3 linked regions of the Notamacropus eugenii genome follow. The protein of the gene in region 1 purifies or fractionates together with the protein of each later gene. This does not show direct contact. Links are inferred from orthologs where the notes say so. Each region holds a gene or a part of one and is shown in the gene's direction. Other genes may lie near its edges.

Region 1 (6,979 bases):
TTCCAGGTGAATATTATCAGCTTTTTCCTGGTGGGCATTTTTTTTAGGTAGAAGAGGTACTTTGATATCCTAGGTTATCTATAATATTTTTTGAAGTATCACTGACTAAAATGCTCTTTTAAGAATCAGGTAGATTTACTTGAATTTAAATTAAATGGTAACATTAACGGCTTACCATGTAAATCAGTTAAAAACTAATACTACTTCATCTTTTCCCAAAGAGACAGAATTTACCTAGTTGAACCTAATTATAGAAAGAGAGAATCAAAGCCTGACACCATCCATTAGACTAAAGTGTTTTCAAAAAGGTGTCATTTATATTAAAACTTGTAAGCCATCGTGCTATACATGTTTCATGTAAATTAAGGCATTTTATGAAGTTTAAAAAGCCCAGATCTATAGCATCGAAGCCCAGAATGCCATGGTGGACAGAGCAGTTACGTTTGTCATGGTTGTTGAGGTTTTTGAAGTGAGTTTCTATAGAAAATAATTTGAAAAAGAATAACAATTATTTTAATTTGCATGTAACAGTCTTCGGGTTCTACTAACAATGGTTTACAAATGATTTCTGTATATAATATAGTCAGGATTTTTTGCTTGAATAGTTTACATTTCCTTTTTAAAATTCCTTATATGTCTGGTTCATGAAACAGTATGGTATAGTAACTAAAGAGGGTTGATTTTGGCCATTAGAAAGACCTTGGCTCAAATCCTACCTTTGCCTGTGAGACTGAGGGCAAATCACTTAACCTCCTAACGCTTTAGGCAACTATGTAAAACTGAGTCACAAATACATTGCCATGCTGAAACTTCCCTGTACAATTCCAGGTTTTTAAAAATCTACCACATTTGATTTGGGTTATATTAAAACATTAACTTGGAAATCATGCTATCTTTAAGATAATCATAATTTCCTATGTCTGTGGTGAAGCATATTGTGAATACTGGAGATGGATAGTTTCAATTTATTTCTTATTGTTAGTTGCTGGTATTTGGCTAAAATAATGTGTGATACCGTATTACACTGGAAGGACAAAGACTGAATGAACTTAAGAGATACATGCCATGGCTGCATCTATCCAGTGTTGCGTTCTGATATTGGCATGAGAGGCATTCAAATGGGAAAACATAATTGTCTTCTTAGCACTGACCTCAGGTTAGCAAGGGATTCACAACAGCTCTTTTTAATAATCTGTTATAGAGATATCACTTGTAAGTGATGCTAATAATATTTCCTTATTGATTACTTAATTTTAAGTTGCTTTCCCTGCCCCCCCCCCCCATAAGTCTCTGAAAGGCTTTAGAATCTCAGTGAGTAGGCAATTCTAGTTTTTTTTGCATCCCTTCTTACTTATTTGAGCTTTTGCTTTTACCACACAATAGGTCTTCCAGAAAATGTAGTCGGAATAGGTTTCCTTATATCCAGTCTCCAACACTTAATACCTGTATAACCTTGGGCAAGACACTTAACCTTAGCACCTCAAGGGGGTAAGAGACTCAGAATTGCCCTAACTTTTTAAAAAACCTGTTAAGAGTGATGGGCTCAGTTTCCTTATCTGCAAAGTGAAGGAATTGTACTTAAAAAGTGTGAGGTATAAATGTATACATAGACACACATATATACATATGTACACGTACTCTTAAATATTATCTTTAATATCTGTATTTTGCATAAGCTTAAATCCAATTTGTGTGTATATGTGTCAAATGCATACATATTATATATATACATATATACACATACATACATACATACATATGTAGCTCATCTTGTTTATCTAAGATAATGTAGATGTTATTACCTTCACTATATGGGCAAGGAAACAAGATTTGAAGGTAAAGTGACTTGGCCTAGGTCAGTCATAGGATATGGCAGCGTTATGATTTAGAAACCTGGTCTTCTGACTTAACTCTACTGTTCTCACTAAATCTCAGTTTCCTTCCACACAAAGACCATAATACACAGAAGCATCAGTACTATTAAAAGTAGCAGTAAGAATTTGTTTTGCTTTCCGCTGGAAAAAAAAGAAGCAAATGTGTACATATATGTATATGTATATATATGTATACACACATACATAAAAATAGTATAGCACAGATCAAAAATCAAAATAGATTATAGGAATGATTTCCATCCCTGATTCCTTAATTAAAAGGAATCTTTAAAGATATTCATGCTTTGAATATTTACAAGCCCTCTTTCCCTCAATATTTCTAGTCTTTAAGCACTTATCAATGCACATTTTGAAGAAATATTTGTATTTTTAAGTGTTTTTCCAGTTAAGCATTTAATGTGTTAGGCATATAAGCTTTAAATTTATATTTTCCAAGTACATAGTAAGGAACTGTTTTATTTTGAACAATATTAAGACCATGAATAACATTTAAGGACAGTTCTAAGTATTCCAAACCAAATCTGGATTTTCCAAGGGCTGATTATTCAGGTGGGGACCTTTTTCTACTTCCATTGCTCTTATTTCTAGGATCCCCATCAGAGGCAGCGCAACAACAAAAAGAGCTCCTACTCCCGTTTTACCACTTATTAGCAACCATTAAAGAAAGGCAAATTAATGGCTAAAATGAGTTTCAAAAAAATGTCTTTGGGCTTTTATTATCCAGGCTGTTCCTCTCCACGTGTAACTCAGACAATGTGACCTTGATGAAGCTCAGGCCATTTCACAAATGGTCAATATTTTATTTCTCTTTCCATTTCCCTGTGAACAAGCGCTTCCAAAGAATCAAAGCTGCAGGTGACCCCAAAGGGTAAAGGAGAGCCGGGCCATGGGCACCAGCAGCAGGGCAAGAAGCGCTGCAGACCATCCCCAAGGCAATGGATGTTTTTTAAAAGGAGGTGGGCCCCACCAACGGAGGCTGTTAAAGGCCTGGAGGCCTTCCTCCAGGAGAGTGGGCAGAGACTGCGGGAAGTGCATCAGGGACACAGGGTACGGTGGGCTGCGATCTGCAGGAGGGAGGGAGGGTGCACACGGCGTAAATTCAGAGTTCAGTGATGAAACCTGCCTGGGAAGCGGCCAGCTGGTTCTGAAAGCTCACGGTGGGGAGGGCAAAGGGCCTTCCGCCTGGGTTCTTAAGAAGGGGCAGGCCGGGCCTGCTGCAGGGGTCTGTGAACTAGGACGGTCCAGCCTCCAGGACAAAAGCCACGGCCCGACGGCCTTCACAGAGCACCTAATCCGCAGAGAACGGATTTAGGGCCTGTTCGCCGAGTACAACAGGCCAGTGTTAGGGGCCCGTCAGGCAAGAAACCCCGAAAAGGCCAGCCATCGTCCAGTTCTGGGGCTGACCTCATGCCGGAAGCCAGGCTCCCTCTGCAGCTCCACAAGCACTGTGTCTCCCAGGGGCAGGGCAGGGCAGGGAGCTTGCGACCGGACCAGAAGCAGAACCAGAGGGGATCGGGCCAGGCCTAACGCCCCAGATGGGAGCTGCACGCCAGCTAAGCAGAGGCCTGCGCCGCGTGATGGCCAAGACACCTTCCAAGGTCAGACACACTGGAGCGGGCAGGATCCCGGGCCGCCCCGGAGGGGCTCCCTTCAGTAAAAACAAGGCACTGCAAGTCCCACGGCAGCCCTAGGCCGGAAGGACCGGGAGAAATGATTTAGGCACGAACCCAAAACGTACAGTGGCTCGTGACAGGCAGGATGCACGGGAAGAAAATAGGAAAAGTACCGATGCATGAAGTTCGGCTAGGAAAAGGCCACGGGCAGGGGGGAAGGGCAGGGGCTGCTTTCCGGGCACTCCGCAGGCCTCCATTTGCCTGGTGCCGCTGGGAAGGGCACCCTGGCCTTTGGCGCTCCGCTCCCGAAAGGTAGTGTGGGGGATAACTACGGTAAGGAGGCAGGAGGGGGCCTGCAGCGCGCCGCGCGGGCTTTTCCACTGCGCAGCAACTACCGTAGGGGAGGAGGAGGAGGGGCGGGTATATTACGTGCGCGACGCCGCCCCGACGAGAGGACGTTGCGTGCTCGCTCGCGCCGGGCGAGTCTCCGCGTCTCCCTCGCGAACTCGGTGAAAGGAATTGGCGCCGTTCGACTCCAGGCGGGTCCGCTCTGCAGCACGAACCCCACTCCAGCCGCAGCCGCAGCCGCCGCCCGGGGCCGAGGAGCAGCCGCAGCAGCCGCCGCCAGTGGCCGTGTGAGCGGAGCCGAGTCGCAGTCAGCGCCGAGCGGTGAATTGGGGCCCTCACGATGAGTTCCTCGCCAGTGAACGTGAAGAAGCTGAAGGTGTCGGAGCTGAAGGAGGAGCTCAAGAAGCGGCGCCTCTCTGACAAGGGCCTCAAGGCCGAGCTCATGGAACGGCTCCAGGCCGCGCTAGACGACGAGGAGGCCTCCGGAGGCCGCCCCACCTTGGAGCCCGGGAACGGCAGCCTGGACCTGGGCGGGGATTCCGCCGGGCGCTCGCACACGCAGCCCTCGGGAGCAGGCCTCGAGCAGGAGGCCGCGACCGCGGCCGACGAGGAAGAGGAGGAGGAGGAAGAGGAGGAGGAGGAGGGGATCGCGGCCCTGGATGGCGACCAGATGGAGCTAGGGGAAGAAAACGGGGCCGCGGGGGCGGCCGATTCGGGCCCGATGGAGGAGGAGGAGGCGGGCGGCTCCTCGGAAGACGAAAACGGCGACGACCAGGGCTTCCAGGAAGGGGAGGACGAACTCGGGGACGAGGAAGAGGACGCGGGCGCGGGAGACGAGAACGGGCACGGGGAGCAGCAGTCCCAACCGCCGGCCACGCCGCAGCCCCAGCAGCCTCCGCAGCAGCGCGGGGCGGCCAAGGAGGCCGCGGGCAAGAGCGGCGGCCCCACCTCGCTCTTCGCCGTGACGGTGGCGCCTCCCTCGGCGGCCAGGCAGGCCCAGCAGCAGGCGGGAGGCAAGAAGAAGGCGGAAGGCGGCGGAGGCGGCGGCCGCCCCGGGGCTCCGGCGGCGGGTGAGTGGCGTTTTCTGAATGTGTGTGTGGCTGGGAGTGTGGGGGGGCGGGAGCGGGGGAGAACCGCGGGCCCGGGGTGGGGTGGGGACCGTGCCCCAGGGCCTCCACCCGTCCCCCCCCGAGAGGGGGCTGGGGGCTTGGGAAAGGCGAAGAAAGGGCGGGGGCGTCGCTGCTTTTCCCAGTGGCCGGAGTCGTGGATGGGGGAGGGGAAAATGGGGGGGCGGTTGCGGGGGAATCCCAGATTAGCCGTGAGGTGTCGGGCTGTGTGTGTGCGTGTGTGTATGTGTGTGCGCGCGTGTGACGGCGGCGCCACCATTATCTGGCTCGAGAGCCAGGGGGAGCTGCAGCTGCCGCTGGAGGGGGAGGAGCGGCCGCTGGCGGCGGGAGAGGGCCCCCCCGTGCTCGGCGCTGCTGCGTGCGCGCGGTGCGGGCACATGTCTCCGCACTGGGGGGAGGGGAGGGAGAAGGGAGGACGATGGGAGGGGGGGCTGGAGATCGAGGTCCCGGGGCGGGCGCGCGGTGGCGGCTCGAGCTCTCACGTTGCCACCGTATTGTGCAAGGAGTGCAGGGGCTCTGACGTGACGTCACTTCCGGTTGGCGGTCCCGGCGGGGAGGGGGTAGGGGTGGGGTGGAATCGGGGGAGAGTTAGAACGACGATCCGTACAATGCGGCCGCGGGGAGCGCGGGCCCAGCCGGAGTGGGGGGAGGGGAGGGAAGGGAGAGGAAAAGGCTCGGAGCCCCTCCTCCTCCTTCGTGCTCTGCTCTCATTGGGATACACGTGGGCTCTGCTTATTCCGCGCTATTCTATGTGGCGCTCGCAGGAATCGTCGAGCAGCCTAGGAGATCGGGGCTATCTCGGGGCTGCGTCACGAACTGCACTCCTTTCTTAGCCCTCCTTCTTCCTCGGATAGTAAATGGTTGGCCAATTAAAGGATTATTGAAACCGGGAAAAAATGGCAGGTTAACATAGCAAGCTTTTTAAGCTTTGCAGGTTGCAAGTGGAATAGGCTTCGTTTTCGGGTCAGCGGGGGTTTTTTTTTTTTTTGTTCGTCTTTTTTTTTTTAATTTAAAAAGATGTCCTAACCTTTGTAGGAGATGGCAAAACAGAGCAGAAAGGTGGAGACAAAAAGAGAGGTGTTAAAAGACCTCGTGAAGATCATGGCCGGGGCTATTTTGAGTACATTGAAGAAAACAAGTACAGCAGGTAGGGAAGTTTATCTGATCATTTCACTACACAATGAATCACAAATAAGAAAGCTACATCAGGGGCAAATTCTCTTTTTCAGAGCTAAATCTCCTCAGCCACCGGTTGAAGAGGAAGATGAACACTTTGATGACACAGTGGTTTGTCTTGATACTTGTAAGTGCATATCTTCCAATCTCCTTAATTTTGCATAGGACCAAAAATCTAGTATGTTTAGGAAATTTGCATTTATGAAAAATAGCTTGTGCAAGTGTAGAAATAATCTGATTAATAACTTGTATGCCAGTCTTTTGAAATAAAGGTTACCACAATCCTCATGGAAATGACTAGGTAAGGTATAAACAAAATGGTATTTTAAAATTTAGTCATATGTTCTGCTTTGGCAACCCTGTAGCAACTTGGTGCTTTTTTCCCCCTTGAAGTATGGAATATTTAGGTGATTAACTCTTGAATAGAAAAGGTAATTTATAAATATATTCTCATGTTGTCTTTTGAGTTTTGTAAGAAAATGTAATAAGTATTAGTGGTGGGAAGTTAGTAATTGACCTTATTGGGACTAGTATTTATTGTAAACTTTTAAAATTTCATTAAGTGAATTTAGAACTTCCCATTGTTCGAAGTTTTTGGTACTGGGAGTTACCAGATTTGTCTTTACTAATGACTTTCCCTTTAGTTCACAAGTATATTCCCTTTTTCTAACATTTAAACTGTAACATTATGTTCTCAATAACTGCTGTTTTGTTCTCAATTGCAGTTCAGTAGCTGCTGCTTTAACATAAGTTGGTGTCTTCCAAAGACCTGGGGCAGCAGCAGTGGCTATCTCTGGGCCACTAGCTTTCTTCAGCAGCG
Region 2 (7,094 bases), about 26 Mb from region 1:
TGCTATTACAATATCTTTCTGAATTTATCACCTTAAATAAAAAAATGTGGTGGTTGTTTTTTTAACACTTCCTGTTCCAAATTCATGGATAATCAGTACAGCTGTCAAGCAGCTGCTACATTTCACCCCAGAGATACATGAAGGGTTTCCTATAGGTATATAAATCCAAAAGGACATTAAGACCTATAACATAGACTTCCCTAGAGAAAAAGGACTTAGCATGACAATCAAAATTTTTATAGGACTAACAAGTGCTCCCTCACCAATGTTTATACCAGTTTTAAAACAGATGGTACATTTAACCAAAAACATCAGATGCTACCAAAACATTTTTAGCTACAAAATTATTTGTACAACCTAAAAACTTTATAGACAATAAGGAAAGGCAACTGGGAATATTGTGAATATACAACTTCCAGGATTATGATTTCACTTCCAGCTTCTTCTACTAAAAGCCTCTAAAAGATTCATACAATCATTTACAATTCCTGGTTTCAAATCCTGAAATTATCCACATAATAGATTCAAAGAATGAGAATTACTCATTTTCACCTGAAGCACTATAGAGAGATAGGAGGGAGGAATCATTGAAAATTAAAAGGAACATATCCCCAAGAGATCACAAAAATGGGAAAAGGTCTCACAGGTACAAAAACATTTGTAGCAGCACTCTTTATGGCGGCCAAAAACTTGAAATCAAGGGGATGCCCATCAATTGGGGAATGGCTGAATAAATTATAGTATATGAATGTAATGGAATACTATTGCGCTATAAGAAATGATGAACAGGAACACTTCAGAGAGGCCTGGAAAGACTTATATGATCTGATGCTGAGCAAAAGGAGCAGAACCAGGACAACTTTGTGTATAGCAAAAACCAGTGTGCAAGAGTTTTTCGTAGCAATGCAAGGACTTAAAAAGATTCTCAATTGGTCTTCTAAGGCAAAATGCCTTCCACATCCAGAGAAAGAACTATGGAATTCAATTGCAGAATGTAGCACTTCATTTTGTGTGTGTGTGTGTGTGTGTGTGTGTGTGTGTATTATGTTTTGGTTTGTTATATGATTTCTCCCATTTATTTTACTTCTTCCACACAGCATGACTATAGTGAAAATGTATTTCATGGGAATATATGTGTAGAACCTATATAAAATTGTATGCCATCTCAGGCAGGGAAGGGGGAAGAGGGAGGGAGGGAATAATAATAATTTAAGTTATATGTCAGTGATTGTAGAACACTGAAAATAAATAAAATGAATTTTTAAAAAAAGAAAGAAAATTAAAAGGAACAAGGTGTGTTCATCCTTCATTGCCGAAGAAGACCATGCCATCAGAGAAATGATGACATGACTTGCACTTGACTTTGTTTTGAGTGAGGGAGGGCTGTGCAGGTCACCAGCCTCACTTCTCCTTCAGAGCCATCTGAATCCAGTGACCACATATTCATCAGGATGACTGGAGATGACCCAGGATGAGGCAGTTGGGGTTAAGTGGCTTGCCCAACATCACACAGCTAGTGAGTGTCAAGTGTCTAAGGGGAGATTTGACCTCAGGTCCTCCTGAGTCCTGCACTGGTGCCCTATCCACTGCACCGCCATGCTGCCCCAAAAGGAACAAGGTAAAAACAAGGCCAGACACAGGTAAACAATTACCATATCACTTGTTTCCAAGGTCACATAATACAAGACAAGTTTATAAAATGTGATTCAACAAGTCCTAACCAGTCCTATCAAAACTCCCTAATATTGTCACAGAATCTTCTGACCTTTTTAGAAACATCACACCACCATCTTCTCTTACTTTATCTGCTCTCATTCTAAATACAAGCACAGAAAACACCTGAGCATATACATCAAACCCTACAACAATTAAGTAATAAGGACTTGAGGATGGGAGGATGTAACTTTGTTACAAATATTCTCCACTGTACATAGGCTGCCTTTTAACATTTGAATATCATTTGTGTTATACAAAAGTTTTGGTGGCATTGCATTTGTTAATTTAGATTTCATGTGTATATATATATATATATACTTGCATATATATATATATAAAATATGTATATATGTATGAAATATAAGTCAGGGTCAAACCAATCAAGAAACCACCCATCTTCCCACAAGCACTTCCCATCAGCTCAGGAAATCTCCTCTATACTTAGTTATGGGAGGGCTTGCATTGTACACACTCACCTGTTAGAAAATATAGTGTACCAACTCCTAGGTGTATTAAAAATGGTAATGCCCACCTCCTAAACACAGTTTAGATAGTGGCTCCTAAACCCAATACACATGGACCATACAAACATTTGGTATCACATACTCACTCTGTTAAAGAAATTCTCCTAGATCCTTATTATGCCCTCTTGGCTTAAAGATATTAATTTTCTCCAGGTATACTGAACAAACTTTGAAGGAAAAAGTTTCTTAGTCTCATTTCTACACAGGCTACTTTGTATGGTAGATCAACTTCCTCCTCTCAAGGTAATTTTGCAGTATGAATACAACCTATTCCATCAGGTTTACCCAATCACACTTCCCATAATCATAGGCCAGCTAACAATGATACCTCTTCCCATCAACACAAAGCACAGTCTGGGTCAGTCCACAGACCAAAATGTAAGGGATTTCCCTCACTCAAATACATACAAACAACCTGACCACCTCCTCCATTAACATAAAGTAATTTGGTAAACAGCATATAGCTTTCTCTAAATACTTATGGATCAGTCTTACAAAAACAACCTATATTCCTTTAACATTCATGTAACATCACAGATATTCTTGAACGCTCTCAGATACAAGCTAAATAACTCTAACTTTTTTCCTATGTAAAATTAAATCATATTGATAAGGGTCCACTATCCCATTTGTATGAGGAGCAAAATAGGAATCAAGAAATGAGGTGTTGGAAAAGCAAGAACTAACTTGCTGAGTGGCCAGAAAGCCTTTAGTTAAACCCTTTTTAGTACTCAATATATTCATTTGTAAAATAAGGGCAGAACCTACCTACTTTACCAGATTGTTTCCAGGAAAAAGAAAAGTTAGACATAAAACATGCATAAATATGATTCAAATTTAAAAGTATTTCAACTGAACTGAATTCTATGTACCCAAGTCAGCACACAAGTTACCATTTTCCCTTACAGGCTAGTCTATCAAAAATATTCATTACATCTATCCATGATGTAAGGGTATATATTAGTCCTAAAAGGAAAATTCATCATCCCAAGAACCTCTTCCATAAACAAAAACTAATCAGATATTTTCATTCCTCCTTCAACTATAATCAACTGGTTGGTAAGTAGGAAATATCTTTCATCCCTACCACACCAACCTGTCAAGGAGATCCCAACTGCTATTAAATATATACACCAATCTATTTTGAGAATCCCAGCACCCCTAATACATACAGATAATTCTGGAACCCCCATTCCCGATTAAACACATGTGCCATGAAGAGGGTTCCCATTCTGATAATGTACCTGCAGCACTTACATAAATATCACCTGTCCATAGCCCCAAAGGAGTCTCCTAAGTCATCCCTAACATCTCCAAACACGCAGACCAGCCAGTCGTAGTCTCTAAACCTAATATTGTGTACGTAGGCCAGCCCATCCTTATTCCTCACACAAGGACCACAGAACATCCCTCTGTCAAAAATTCCACGGCCCCCACCCCCCATCGCCCTCACCAATCTCGTCCAGGATACTCCATTCCCTAAACGGACACAGGCCAGTCTGTCTCAGGGATCCCCCCAATCATGCCAATGCACTGAGACCAACCTGTCAGGGACATCCGCCCGACTCCGCCTCTACTCCCTCCCTTCCTTCTCCTCCCTCCCTCTCTTTCCCTCCCCCCCAGGAACCGGCCTGTCAGGAACACCCCTTGACCCCCTCCCGGCGGGACTTCCCGGTCGGCCTAGGATCCCCTCCCCTCCCCCATCCCTGCCAACCCTCTCCCAGAGGTCCAGGACCCGGGATGACGGTGGCTCCCCCGAGGCCGAGGCCTGGCCGCTGGGAGGGTAGCCTGCAGGCTCGGAGGCCTCCCAGGCTGGCTTCCACTCACCGTGTCAGAGACCGGGGACGAATGAGATGAGGAGAGGGCAAAGAGTTGGGGAGGGTAGGCGGCCGCCTTGGGGTTCCTCCGCTTCCCTGGGTCCGCGGCGGATCCCTCCCGCTTGTCAGGCGGCGGCAGGCGGGTGAGCAGACTGGCGGGAAGGAAAAGGGGGAGAGGGGAACGGACTGGGGCAGGGGGGGAAGGCTTAGGGGAGGCGGGGCCCGCAACCGAGAAGGGGGATCGTCTCCCCCTCTGCAAAACGAACCCAAAATGGCGGCGGGAGCGGCGGCGGCAGAGAGGCAGCGGCGGCAGCTCCTCGGGAGGGAGGGATGGAGGGAGGGAGCGAAGGGCGCCTCGCGCCCCCCCACCTCCCACTCCTCCCTCCTCGCGCTCTCCCCCCACGTCCTTCCCCGCTCCTCCCCCCGCCCAACTCCGGCCGACGGACGAGCGCGCGCGCGCCCGCGGCTCTGCCTAGCTCACCAGCTCCCCACCAACCACTAGCTTCCGTCGCCCCGCGCTCCTGCCCACACGCGCTTCGCTTGCTCAGGGACTTCTTCTCGCGCGTCCCCCACTCCTCGTTTTCCCCTGTCAAGCCGGCTCTGGCGCGGACCCACACGCTTACCTCAGGCGGTGCTAGCAGTAGCCGCCGCCTCCGCCTCTTCTTCTAGCCTCCCCCCACCCCGCCCCCACCACCACCAACCGCCGCGGCCGCCGCCTCCACCTCCTCCTCCTCCTCCTCCTCCTCCTCCTCCTCCTCCTCCTTTTCCCCCTCCCCCCAGCGCGTGCGCCTCCCACAATCCCCACAGCGGGACTATTCCATTCCCGTCGGCTGCAGGGGCGTAGGTAAAGGGGGCTGGGAAGAGCAGGAGGAATTTGTCCTCGGCTCAGTTCTACAAAATTTGGGAGGCGCGAAGGAACACGTACCTACGTCCTCAACCCGGAAGAAGGGAGAGAAAGTTTAACCCCGTCGCGCCATCTGTAGTCACCCTGATCACACGCCCTTCTGGGCCCTGGTGAGCCAGCGAGGGACGTCCTCGCGCCCCCTTAGCCTGCGGGCGGTTGGAGGCAGCGGCGGCTGCGCGCTGAGCAGCTTCCTGCAGTAGGGCTCGAGCCTGGCTGTCTCTGGGATCGCGGGTGAGTGACTCGGGCTGGGGCCAGGGAGCTGAGCCCGAGGGGGCCGGCCAGGGCCGGGCTTAGGGCTTGGGTGCGCGTTGAAACGGAAGCCGACCCCGACGTGCGCGCGGCGCGACGGAGGGCGCCGCGCCGCGAGGGGAGGCGGGTGCGGGAAAGCGCCTAGGCGTTCCCGTGGCCGTGGCGTGTTCGATCCGCGCCTAGGGGCTAGGGACGCGGCCCCGGAGCTTTGGGCGGGGGAATCGGAATATACGGAGCCTCGGGTTTCTGGTTACGTCTGCAGCCCCTGTGCAGCCTCTCCCCCAACTCGTGATTTCGGGGAAAGGCGCGCGGGGGAGGGAGGCTCGGGACAAGCCGGCCAGAGAGGGCAGCAGTTCTGACTGGGCTCCAGCGGCGGGCCCCCCCTCGAGTGACCTGCGGGTTCTGTTTGTACCTCCTTAGGGCAGAAGTGGGCGGGAAAACTGCCCCATATCTGCCTTCGGGGGGTGGCGTGTGTGGCACCCGTGTTCTTAAACTTGAGTGAGAACTCGTGGTGTAGTAGAAAGGTTCCTGGAGGCAGAGCCACTTCGTAAGTATGTGACCTTAAGGAGGTTACTTCTCTCTCTCTGGGCCTCAGTTTCCTCATCTGTAAAATAAGTAGGTTAAATGAGCTGAACTTCCTACCCACTAATATGATCACACTGACTTTTCATAGGCTTTAAGTAAGCATTGTGGGGTTGTTTGTAGTATTACCTCTGTTAACATCATTTGTGGGTGTAGTTGTTGTCTTTGTGTTCCCCTTATTGGTTCAACAAGCGCTTTAATAAAGAGCTAGCCCCGTGCTCTGAGCTTTGAATGTAAAGATAGTAACTACTGATGATTGTATTGCCTTGTGATATTTACGAAGCTCTTTCCCTACATCGCTTTGAGGAGATGGGTACTGTCGGTATTCCCATCATACCTACGAGTAGGAGAGCTGAAGACCTAAGGTGACTCCTTGTCACACAGCTTAAGTGTGGGAGGCGAACATTAACCACTAGGTCTTTCCTTACTGATTCCAAATCCAGCCTTTGCTCTGTAACACACTACCTCAAAAATGAAATAAAACTTAAAAAAAACCAACATAGTGTCTTTTCCAAAAACTTAGAAAATTTACTGTTTCTGTTATAGACCATCTAATTCTATAAAATTAGGGCTATAGTCCTCAACAATTTCTGTTCATTTCCTTTTCCAGATTTAAAGTTTGTTTATATGTAACCAGCTGATAGTCCTTTGACTTTCCAGAGAGGTAGAATAATTTGACAAAATGGCTACCTCACACCTGAGAAACTTGGTAGATTGGGCCTATTCTGGAAAAATGTTTCCCAAATTCCCGTTTTCTTATTTTTTTAAAAAAAATGTGTAGACTTTGTAAGGGGAAAGGAAATTTGAGAAGTGAGGTACCACTTTCTGAGGGAGGTGGGGTCAAAAAGTGCCTTAAGGAAAGAAGAGGGATTTCAAACCTGGAGACAAATAGGCAGTGGGGCTTAAACTTGGAACTTGACCTTTATGAATACATAATTAGAGGTGGGAAAGGAGGGAAACTTGATAGAATTCGACAGACACTCTCTCCCTTTAAATGAATGTAATCTCTAGGTGGGCAGGAACTTTCCTTTTCTCTGTGTCTTTGTTTAGTCCCTAGCGCAGCGCCTTGCACTAAACAATTGCTTATTAACGTCTGGTGAATTAGAATCGAGTTGCTTTTATGTCTTGGATACCAGCAGCTAGGTGTCTCAGGGAATGGAACACTAGACCTGGAACCAGGAAGACCTGAATTCAAGTACAGCCTCAGACACTTATTAGCTGTGTGACTCTGGGCAAGGTACTTAACCTTTGAGAACTAAGTTTCCCCATCTGTAAAATGGGAATAATAACAGTATCTACTCC
Region 3 (7,247 bases), on another chromosome or scaffold:
TTATCTTTGCATTTCTACTACCCAAATAACTCTTTGTGTATTTCTAGAGAGGAGAGCCATTCCTTCCTAATACAGTCATGAGACAGAACAGTGATGCTGAGCTCAAATATAAACTGGGGCCATTAAACTACAGTCCACATATTGATTTAAAAAACCACATATTAACATGTTTTATTGCATTTTTATTTTAAAAATATTTCTCAACTACATTTTAAATTATAATAATGTGGCTGATGATGGTGCTAGGATGGCCTCACACAGGATTTTTATGACTTACATGTGTTATCATCTGTGGGCTAGACAGTACAATTTGGTGAATCTGAAACTAGTGAAAAGGACAAAATGAATGAATTGTCCTTAATAGTTCAACATCAGTTTGGAAGACCATCTTCAGAGATCTGGGTCTGGCCCTATGCTACCTATTATTTTTATCAGTGACTTGGATAAATGATTTATCAAATTGGAATCATTGGTTGATAAAATTTTGGGAGGGATAGTTAATATATTGATTGACAGAACAGAGGTTTAAAAAAAAGTTTCACAGGCTTGAATACCAGGCTGAATGTAATAAGATCAAACTGAACAGAGGCAAACATGAAGTCTTCAACTCAGCTTCAAAAAATCAAATTCAGAAGTCCAGGATGGGGGAAAAGATAGAGGTTTTAATGGACTAAAGGCTCACTTTTAGTCTACAGCTTACTTTTATAACCTCAAGAGATAATGTGATTTTAGGGTGTATTAAGAAAGGTATATTAAAAAAAGAAATAAAGACAAAATAATTCCGCTTTACTCTGTTCTAGTCAATCAGTAAATAAGCATTTAATTAAGCACCCAGTATGTAAGGTAAACCCAGAGGACACTAAGAACTTTGTAGCAGAAAAATATCCAATGATCTGCCTTGTGAAGTAGCAAATTTCTGGACAAGGGAAGTGTTCAACATGAGGCTGGATGAACATTTGTCTTGAACACAGCAAAGGGATTCTGGCACCATTTAAGGGATTCAACTAGATGATCTCTAAAAACCAAAACTGTGATTACGCTTCTTGGTTCACTGGTTTTATAAGTTGAGAGGTAGGGCAAATCGGAGTTTTAAAAGACCTCCTGCTGGGCTATAAGTTCCAGGGGAGACTAAAAGCAAATAATGAGAAATAATTCATTTATGTAATGCTGTAAAGTATGCAAAGTACTTATCACAGGGAGAGTTTATTAAGAGAGTCTTTATTACCTGAGTGAGCTTTTGATTGTGACTGATTAAGAATATTGGATGAGATATAAATGACTGAACAAGTACCCCAGATCAGAGCCCTGGCCTCTCCCTCTTGACAATCAGAGTAATCTCTAGGGATTGGATCATCACATAAGTCTGCCTTTTATAAATGAAGAAACTAAGAGCTGAAAAAGGTTAAATGACTTGCCCTGGGTCACACTGAACTCAAATCAAATGCAACTCCGCTGACTTTAAAATTCTGTTAAGTCATGTACAAGTTTTCACGACCCCACCTGGGGTTCTCTTGGCAAGGACAGTAAGGTGGTTTGCCAGTTCCTTCTCCAGTTCATTTTAAACATGAGGAAACAGACAAAAAGGATTGAGTGACTTGCCCAGGGTCACACAGCTATCAAGTGTATAAGGTCACATGTGAACTCAGGAAGATGAGTCTTCCTGACTTCAGGCCAGGCACTCTATCTGCTTCACAGCCTAGCTGCCCCAACTTAAAACCCTACATAACATGTCCCATGTCAATTGAGAACTTTATCACCTACTCAAGCTATGCTCATACATCATGGTACTCCAATCATGTTTATTAAAACTTGAAAATAGAGGTGATTCATGTTTTACAACAGTAGAGTGAGGAGCCCAGCCATGATCCCCTGCCTCCTGGTTCAGTTCGATGTCCAGACTGGTCTGCCTCCTCACCAGCAGCCTTGCCCTGGCATGGACCCTTCCTCTTCTTTCTCCTCCCCCTCCTCCACCCTTTCCAGGACTTTGAGTTTTGTTCTCCATCGTTAGAAGGTCAGGCCCTTGAGAGGAGGGATCATCTTGTTTTCTTCTCTTTGTATTTCTAGAATTTATCTCAGTAACTGGCACCGTTTTAGCCCTTAATAGAAATGCTTCCTCTGTCTATTTGTCTATCTGCAATCCTCCACAAGGGTCCTAACTCTAGTCTCATCATGGAGGGGCCTCTGGGTTCTCCAAATTTATGCCAGCAGAATACAGGCTATCCAGTTTTAACCATGGAGTCCTAGAGTCTCCCTGGAAGACTGAGCGGGTCATGTCCCTGTTGAGGGGTACGAGCCCCAGCCAAGCCCTTTTCCCTTTGGATCGGGAGACCTATGGTCACATTTGTCTGAAGGGCCCTGGAAAGCCTGGCCTGGCGGAGAGGGGGCTCCTTGGAGTCCCCCCGCATTTCTCTTAGGTCCGAGACTCCCCATCTCCTATTTAGCGCTCTTTTGGTTCTCCACCCTTTGATCCCATTACCAGCCACTCCCATCAGGATCCTCCTAGTCCACCTGTATTCACCCCAGGGTGCCAGGGGACATTCCCCTAGCGCCCCATCAAGCCCATGGCTAGGACCCCAGACTACCTGGTGACGCCCGGAGGCTTCCCTCAGTCTTTTCTGTGTTTAGTTCCACCTCGCCTCCATGAAGGCGCTCAGACCCTGCCTGGCTGAGACCCTCTCCGGCCGCTTGTGAACACAAGCGTCACCAGTGGCCAGGCTCCCTAGGAGTCAGCCCAGTACGGCCATCTTTAGTAAACTTTGTCCTTCTTTGGCTCACTGGCGCAGGACCCGGCGGGTCAGTGTTTGGGGGCCCCCAGCACCCCTGAAGCTCAGCACCCGGGCCAGTTTATCTGACTGCGGACAAGCTTGTGAGCGGTAAACTGGCCTGTGTAACAACAGCCTACACGTACACACGCTTTAAAGATTCCAGACGGTCTTGGGTTATCCCCGCCGGCCTCTCAAGCCCTCCTGGGAGGTGAGCGCTCCCGGTGTCCCCGAGTGGCTAGGTGCGGTGCCCGCTGCTAGGAGTGCCGGGGTGCCAGGCCTGGGCTGGGAAGACTCCGGGCAAATCCCTTTCCCCTGTGTGCCTCAGTTTCCTCAGCTGGAGGAAATGGCAACCACCCCGGCATCTCTGCAAAGGAAGCCCCAGATGGAGCCCCGGAAAGTCAAGCACGTCCGGAAACAGCCCAACAAAAGTTCTCCGGTGTAATGCAGCCGGCCGCCTCACTTAGTGAGCAGCCCCATTCACCGGCCATCCACAGCCTCAGGACAGCAAGCCCCCCGCCGGCCATCCGCCCGCACATGCGTACAACGGTCAGCACTCCGGGCCGAGCGCTGCGCTGGGGCCTGGGGCACCTGGGGCTCTTTTGTGTGCTGACGAAACCTTGCGTGCCTTCTCTGAACGCTTTTAAATGCGTGAAACAAAACCACGCAGGACTACAAAAACCTAATTGTATCGCCGTTGTTACAAAGGACCCTGGCTGGGAATCCTCCCGCGGCTAGCGCTCCTTGGCCCTCCAAAGCGGCTCGGACAAGGAAGCCTCCTCCGGGCTGTCACCACACGGAGTGTGCACCACTCCGGCCTGTCCCAAGATGGTAGACGGAGCGCTGTGCCACTACACTTAATTCTGAAGTACACCAGGAAACAGCGCTTTCACCGTCAGCACGGCAGATTCTCGGACATCTGCAGACGTTCGTTACAAGCTGATTGGCCCTGCCTGTACTTGATTTGTAAAAAAAAAAAAATTAAAATAACTCGTGAATTCTTTGGAAGGAGAGTAAAGGCTGAGTGACAGTATTCGAGTGAATTGCATCCAGACCTTCCTAACGTAGGCAACAGGAAAGAAAGCCTTCCCCTGGGTCTGCGCGCAGCGGCGCGGGGGGAGACGGGGAGGATTTTCATTAGCCGCTTTAACAATCCACCCAACGAGGGATCCGCAGAGGGATCTGGCGGGAGGGGGCGAGGGTGGCCAGACGGAGCGGTCGAGCAGGCCGGTTTCTTTGCACACGGATCTAGCACCAAAGGAAGGCCAGAGCTCCACCTCCATTCTACCAGCCGGGCGCAAAGGGCGGGAAAGGCTCTAGTCCCGAAGGCCTATGCGGGAGAGGGAAGAGGAAAAAGGAAGACGACTGAGGATGGAAGGCGCGCTCCCTGGAAAGGGGGGGAACAGAGAGGGGCGGCGGCGCGCGCTACCTCGACCAGCGCGGAGCCTTCCGCCCCACCCCCACTTCCCCCAGTCCGTCTCGCTCTCAGTTTCCCTCAGCGCCCACGCCCGGCCCCTCCCCCTCACGTCCGCCTTCCCACCAGCCGCCGGCGGCGCGCGGAAAGTGCGTCACGTGACGGCCGGCCCCGCCTCTTCCTCTCGGTCCCATATTGAACCCGAGTTGGAGGCGGCGAGTCCGGTCTCAAAATGGAGGTAAAACAGCCGCCCGGCCGCCCCCAGCCCGACTCCGGCCGCCGTCGCCGTCGCCGGGGGGAGGAGGTATTAGGGGGAGAGCGGGGGGTTGCTGGGCTGTGGCCGGCGCGGGTGCCCCGGCTTTGGCGGGGGGAGTACAGAGGGGGCTCGGTCGGTCGGTCGGTCCCGCGCTCTGCGCTGAGGCGGCGGTGGGGGGGGAGGGGAAGGCAGCGGGCCGCGGTGGAGCCGTCGGGCCCTCGGCCCCCGCCGCCGCCTCCTCGGCCTCCTCCTCCCCCCTGTCTCCTGAGCCGCCTCCCGCCTCCCTCCGCCTCGAAGGCTGCCCCGCAAAGCCGCGGCTCGGTGGGGGCGCCGTCCGGGGGCGGAGCGGGCCTGGCCGCGATGGCTCCTGATTTTAGGCGGAGTGCGGCATGGCAGGCGGGCGGGCGGGAGGGAGGGAGAGAGCGAGCGAGCGGTTGGGGAGAGACGGTGGGGGAGGGGAGAGCCGAGCGGGGCTGGGGAAGGAGGGAGGGGGCGGGCAACCACATCCGGGAGAGCGGGCGGGCGGCGGCCGCCGCCACATTGACATCGATCCTCGGCTCTGTGAAATGGCGCATTGGCCCGCAATGGCCGCCGCTTCGCCGCTGCTGCTGCCTAGCGAGAGCGCGGGATTGGGCTGGGCTGGGGGCGGGGAGGGCGCTGGCGGGAGCGGGAGGAGGGAGGGGGAAGGGGAGAGGAGGCGGCGAGGGGAGGCGCTGCTGCAAGGAATCGAAAGGCTTGCTGCTTTCTGCCATCGCAGCGGCTCCGCCACCACGCTTCTGGGCCTGAGGACCGTGCTTCCTTCGGCTCCCTGCCCCTTTCTCCTCCGATGTCCTGGCCGCGCGGGGAGTGGAACTGCTTTTCACCTCTAGTTTACCCATAAAGTATCTTTATGACCCCAAAAGTAACGAAAGTGTGACTGATACCTATTGACGAGCCACTTTTGTAGACGAAGGAAACTTCCCCCTGTAACTTAACAGTGAGATGGGAGGAAAGGGGAGGACTACGGAAGATGGATCGTGGTGTGGTGTCTGCAGGGAAAGGCTTGGCGTGTCAGAAACCCTCGTTAAATCTCCCACGGCCGATTTTGGTTAACTTCCCTTCAATAAACTGCGTGTAACTGAAATTGAGAGAATAGGCTACATCAAACTTAAAATCGAAAGTTTTTAGTCGTTTTATATTGTCCAAGGCTTTGGATGTTATGCAATTATGAAAAGGCAATTGAATTTTAAGCCTTTATTTCTCTTTTAAGTGAAGATAATGCTAGTTTTCTTACAATAACAGTTTTGCTCTTTAAAAAATTTGGACCTTTTAGTTAATGACAGATTATTAGGGTGTTGATTTGGCCATCATTAGGAAATAAAATTCGTTTATTCAGCTCCTGGATTTGGGAAGTGACTTTTAAAACGCTATTGTGGCATTTTTTTTTTTTTTTAACATAGGTCCCATCCATGTATTGAGTTTTTTGGAGGGAAACGTTACAAAAAAAGGACTCTGGTACAACTGAGGGCAATTGTAAGGTCATGCAATGCCAGTTTAGAACTTAGATTACACTACAATTAACTGAAGTGTTTATCTGAAGCAAATATTTAACTTTGTGCTGAAAGATTGAAAAAAATTATCAAAGACTCTAATTTCCTGAAAGTGTACAGAATTTAAAAAGTAGAATTTGGACAGTTTATAAGTACAAAGTCACCGAATCAGAATGTTCTCCAAAACATCATGTCTTATAATTGTTATATAAAATATGTTCACATTTCAGTAGTGTGAAATTTTCTTAAAGCAGTAGAATCTGGGGAAAAGTATGATTTTTTTCACAACTGCTGCTGATTCCACTACTCAGGAAGAGAATGATGAGAGACTAGAATAAGGCCTTGCTGTATTAGTGTTCCAGATGCTTTCCTGTACTTGGCCTAGTAGCAAGTATTTCTAGACACTTGTTAAGTGAATGGAAGTCTGTGGTTAGATTTTCATTTATCCCTGAAGTCTTTTTGTTTTCCTTGTCCAAAATGTGATTTCAGATGAAGAAAAGTGATAATTCTAGGCTAACATTTGAAAAGCAGGCTGTAGGGTTCCTATAATTCACATAGTATCTCAGATACAACTCTGTAGCATCCATTCTTATCCAATTGTCACCTAACAAAATAAATCACCTGGAAAAACTGCACAAGTCTTTGTTTCCTAACATGTAACTATACACTGCTTTAACTGTACTGAAAGAAATTGTTAAGAAATTCACTAGCTTATTTTGCTACTTCCTGCTTCACTAGTGGTAGTAATAGTTCCTCTAAAGATCTAATATCCAAAAAATTTGATGAGGATAAGTGAGGAAAAAGATCTAATATCCAAAAAATTTGATGAGGATAAGTGAGAATTATGAACTGCTAAATTTGTTTATTTTTCTAAGGGTCATGATCCAAAGGAACCAGAGCAGTTGAGAAAACTGTTTATTGGTGGCTTGAGCTTTGAAACTACGGATGATAGTTTAAGAGAACACTTTGAAAAATGGGGCACTCTCACAGATTGTGTGGTAAGTTGTTGAAATTTAAACAAATATATATAAGAGGGTTAAAAAAAGTTGCTTATATAGTCTAGGGTAACAAATTGTAACATGTAAATGTGCTTTATTAGGTGATGAGAGATCCCCAAACAAAACGTTCCAGAGGCTTTGGCTTTGTGACTTACTCTTGTGTAGAAGAGGTAGATGCAGCAATGTGTGCTCGGCCACATAAGGTTGATGGGCGTGTAGTGGAACCAAAGAGAGCTGTTTCTAGAGAGGTATGCCTATGATTAATATGTTGTGTACCCAACCTGAAAT

Evidence for each region.
Region 2: the proteins of HNRNPU (region 1) and DAP3 purify together in Homo sapiens (affinity purification with mass spectrometry; 3 studies listed by BioGRID and IntAct, with this or other methods). This does not show direct contact. The link is inferred for Notamacropus eugenii from reciprocal best matches to the Homo sapiens genes HNRNPU and DAP3.
Region 3: the proteins of HNRNPU (region 1) and HNRNPA3 fractionate together in Homo sapiens (co-fractionation; 3 studies listed by BioGRID, with this or other methods). This does not show direct contact. The link is inferred for Notamacropus eugenii from reciprocal best matches to the Homo sapiens genes HNRNPU and HNRNPA3.

Annotation. Positions count from the first base shown.
Region 1 is NC_092873.1:406,028,356-406,035,334, reverse strand, and holds the start of HNRNPU (heterogeneous nuclear ribonucleoprotein U), read left to right. Parts: upstream 1-3,963; 5' UTR 3,964-4,196; coding exon 4,197-4,926; intron 4,927-6,018; coding exon 6,019-6,130; intron 6,131-6,212; coding exon 6,213-6,286; intron 6,287-6,979. UniProt on the Homo sapiens protein: DNA- and RNA-binding protein involved in several cellular processes such as nuclear chromatin organization, telomere-length regulation, transcription, mRNA alternative splicing and stability, Xist-mediated transcriptional silencing and mitotic cell progression.
Region 2 is NC_092873.1:379,741,285-379,748,378, forward strand, and holds the start of DAP3 (small ribosomal subunit protein mS29), read left to right. Parts: upstream 1-4,077; 5' UTR 4,078-4,200; exon of another isoform or gene 4,201-4,203; intron 4,204-4,680; exon of another isoform or gene 4,681-4,804; intron 4,805-4,982; exon of another isoform or gene 4,983-5,192; intron 5,193-5,353; exon of another isoform or gene 5,354-5,757; intron 5,758-7,094. UniProt on the Homo sapiens protein: As a component of the mitochondrial small ribosomal subunit, it plays a role in the translation of mitochondrial mRNAs. Involved in mediating interferon-gamma-induced cell death. Displays GTPase activity in vitro.
Region 3 is NC_092876.1:240,104,603-240,111,849, forward strand, and holds the start of HNRNPA3 (heterogeneous nuclear ribonucleoprotein A3), read left to right. Parts: upstream 1-4,230; 5' UTR 4,231-4,408; coding exon 4,409-4,480; intron 4,481-6,836; coding exon 6,837-6,959; intron 6,960-7,060; coding exon 7,061-7,207; intron 7,208-7,247. UniProt on the Homo sapiens protein: Plays a role in cytoplasmic trafficking of RNA. Binds to the cis-acting response element, A2RE. May be involved in pre-mRNA splicing.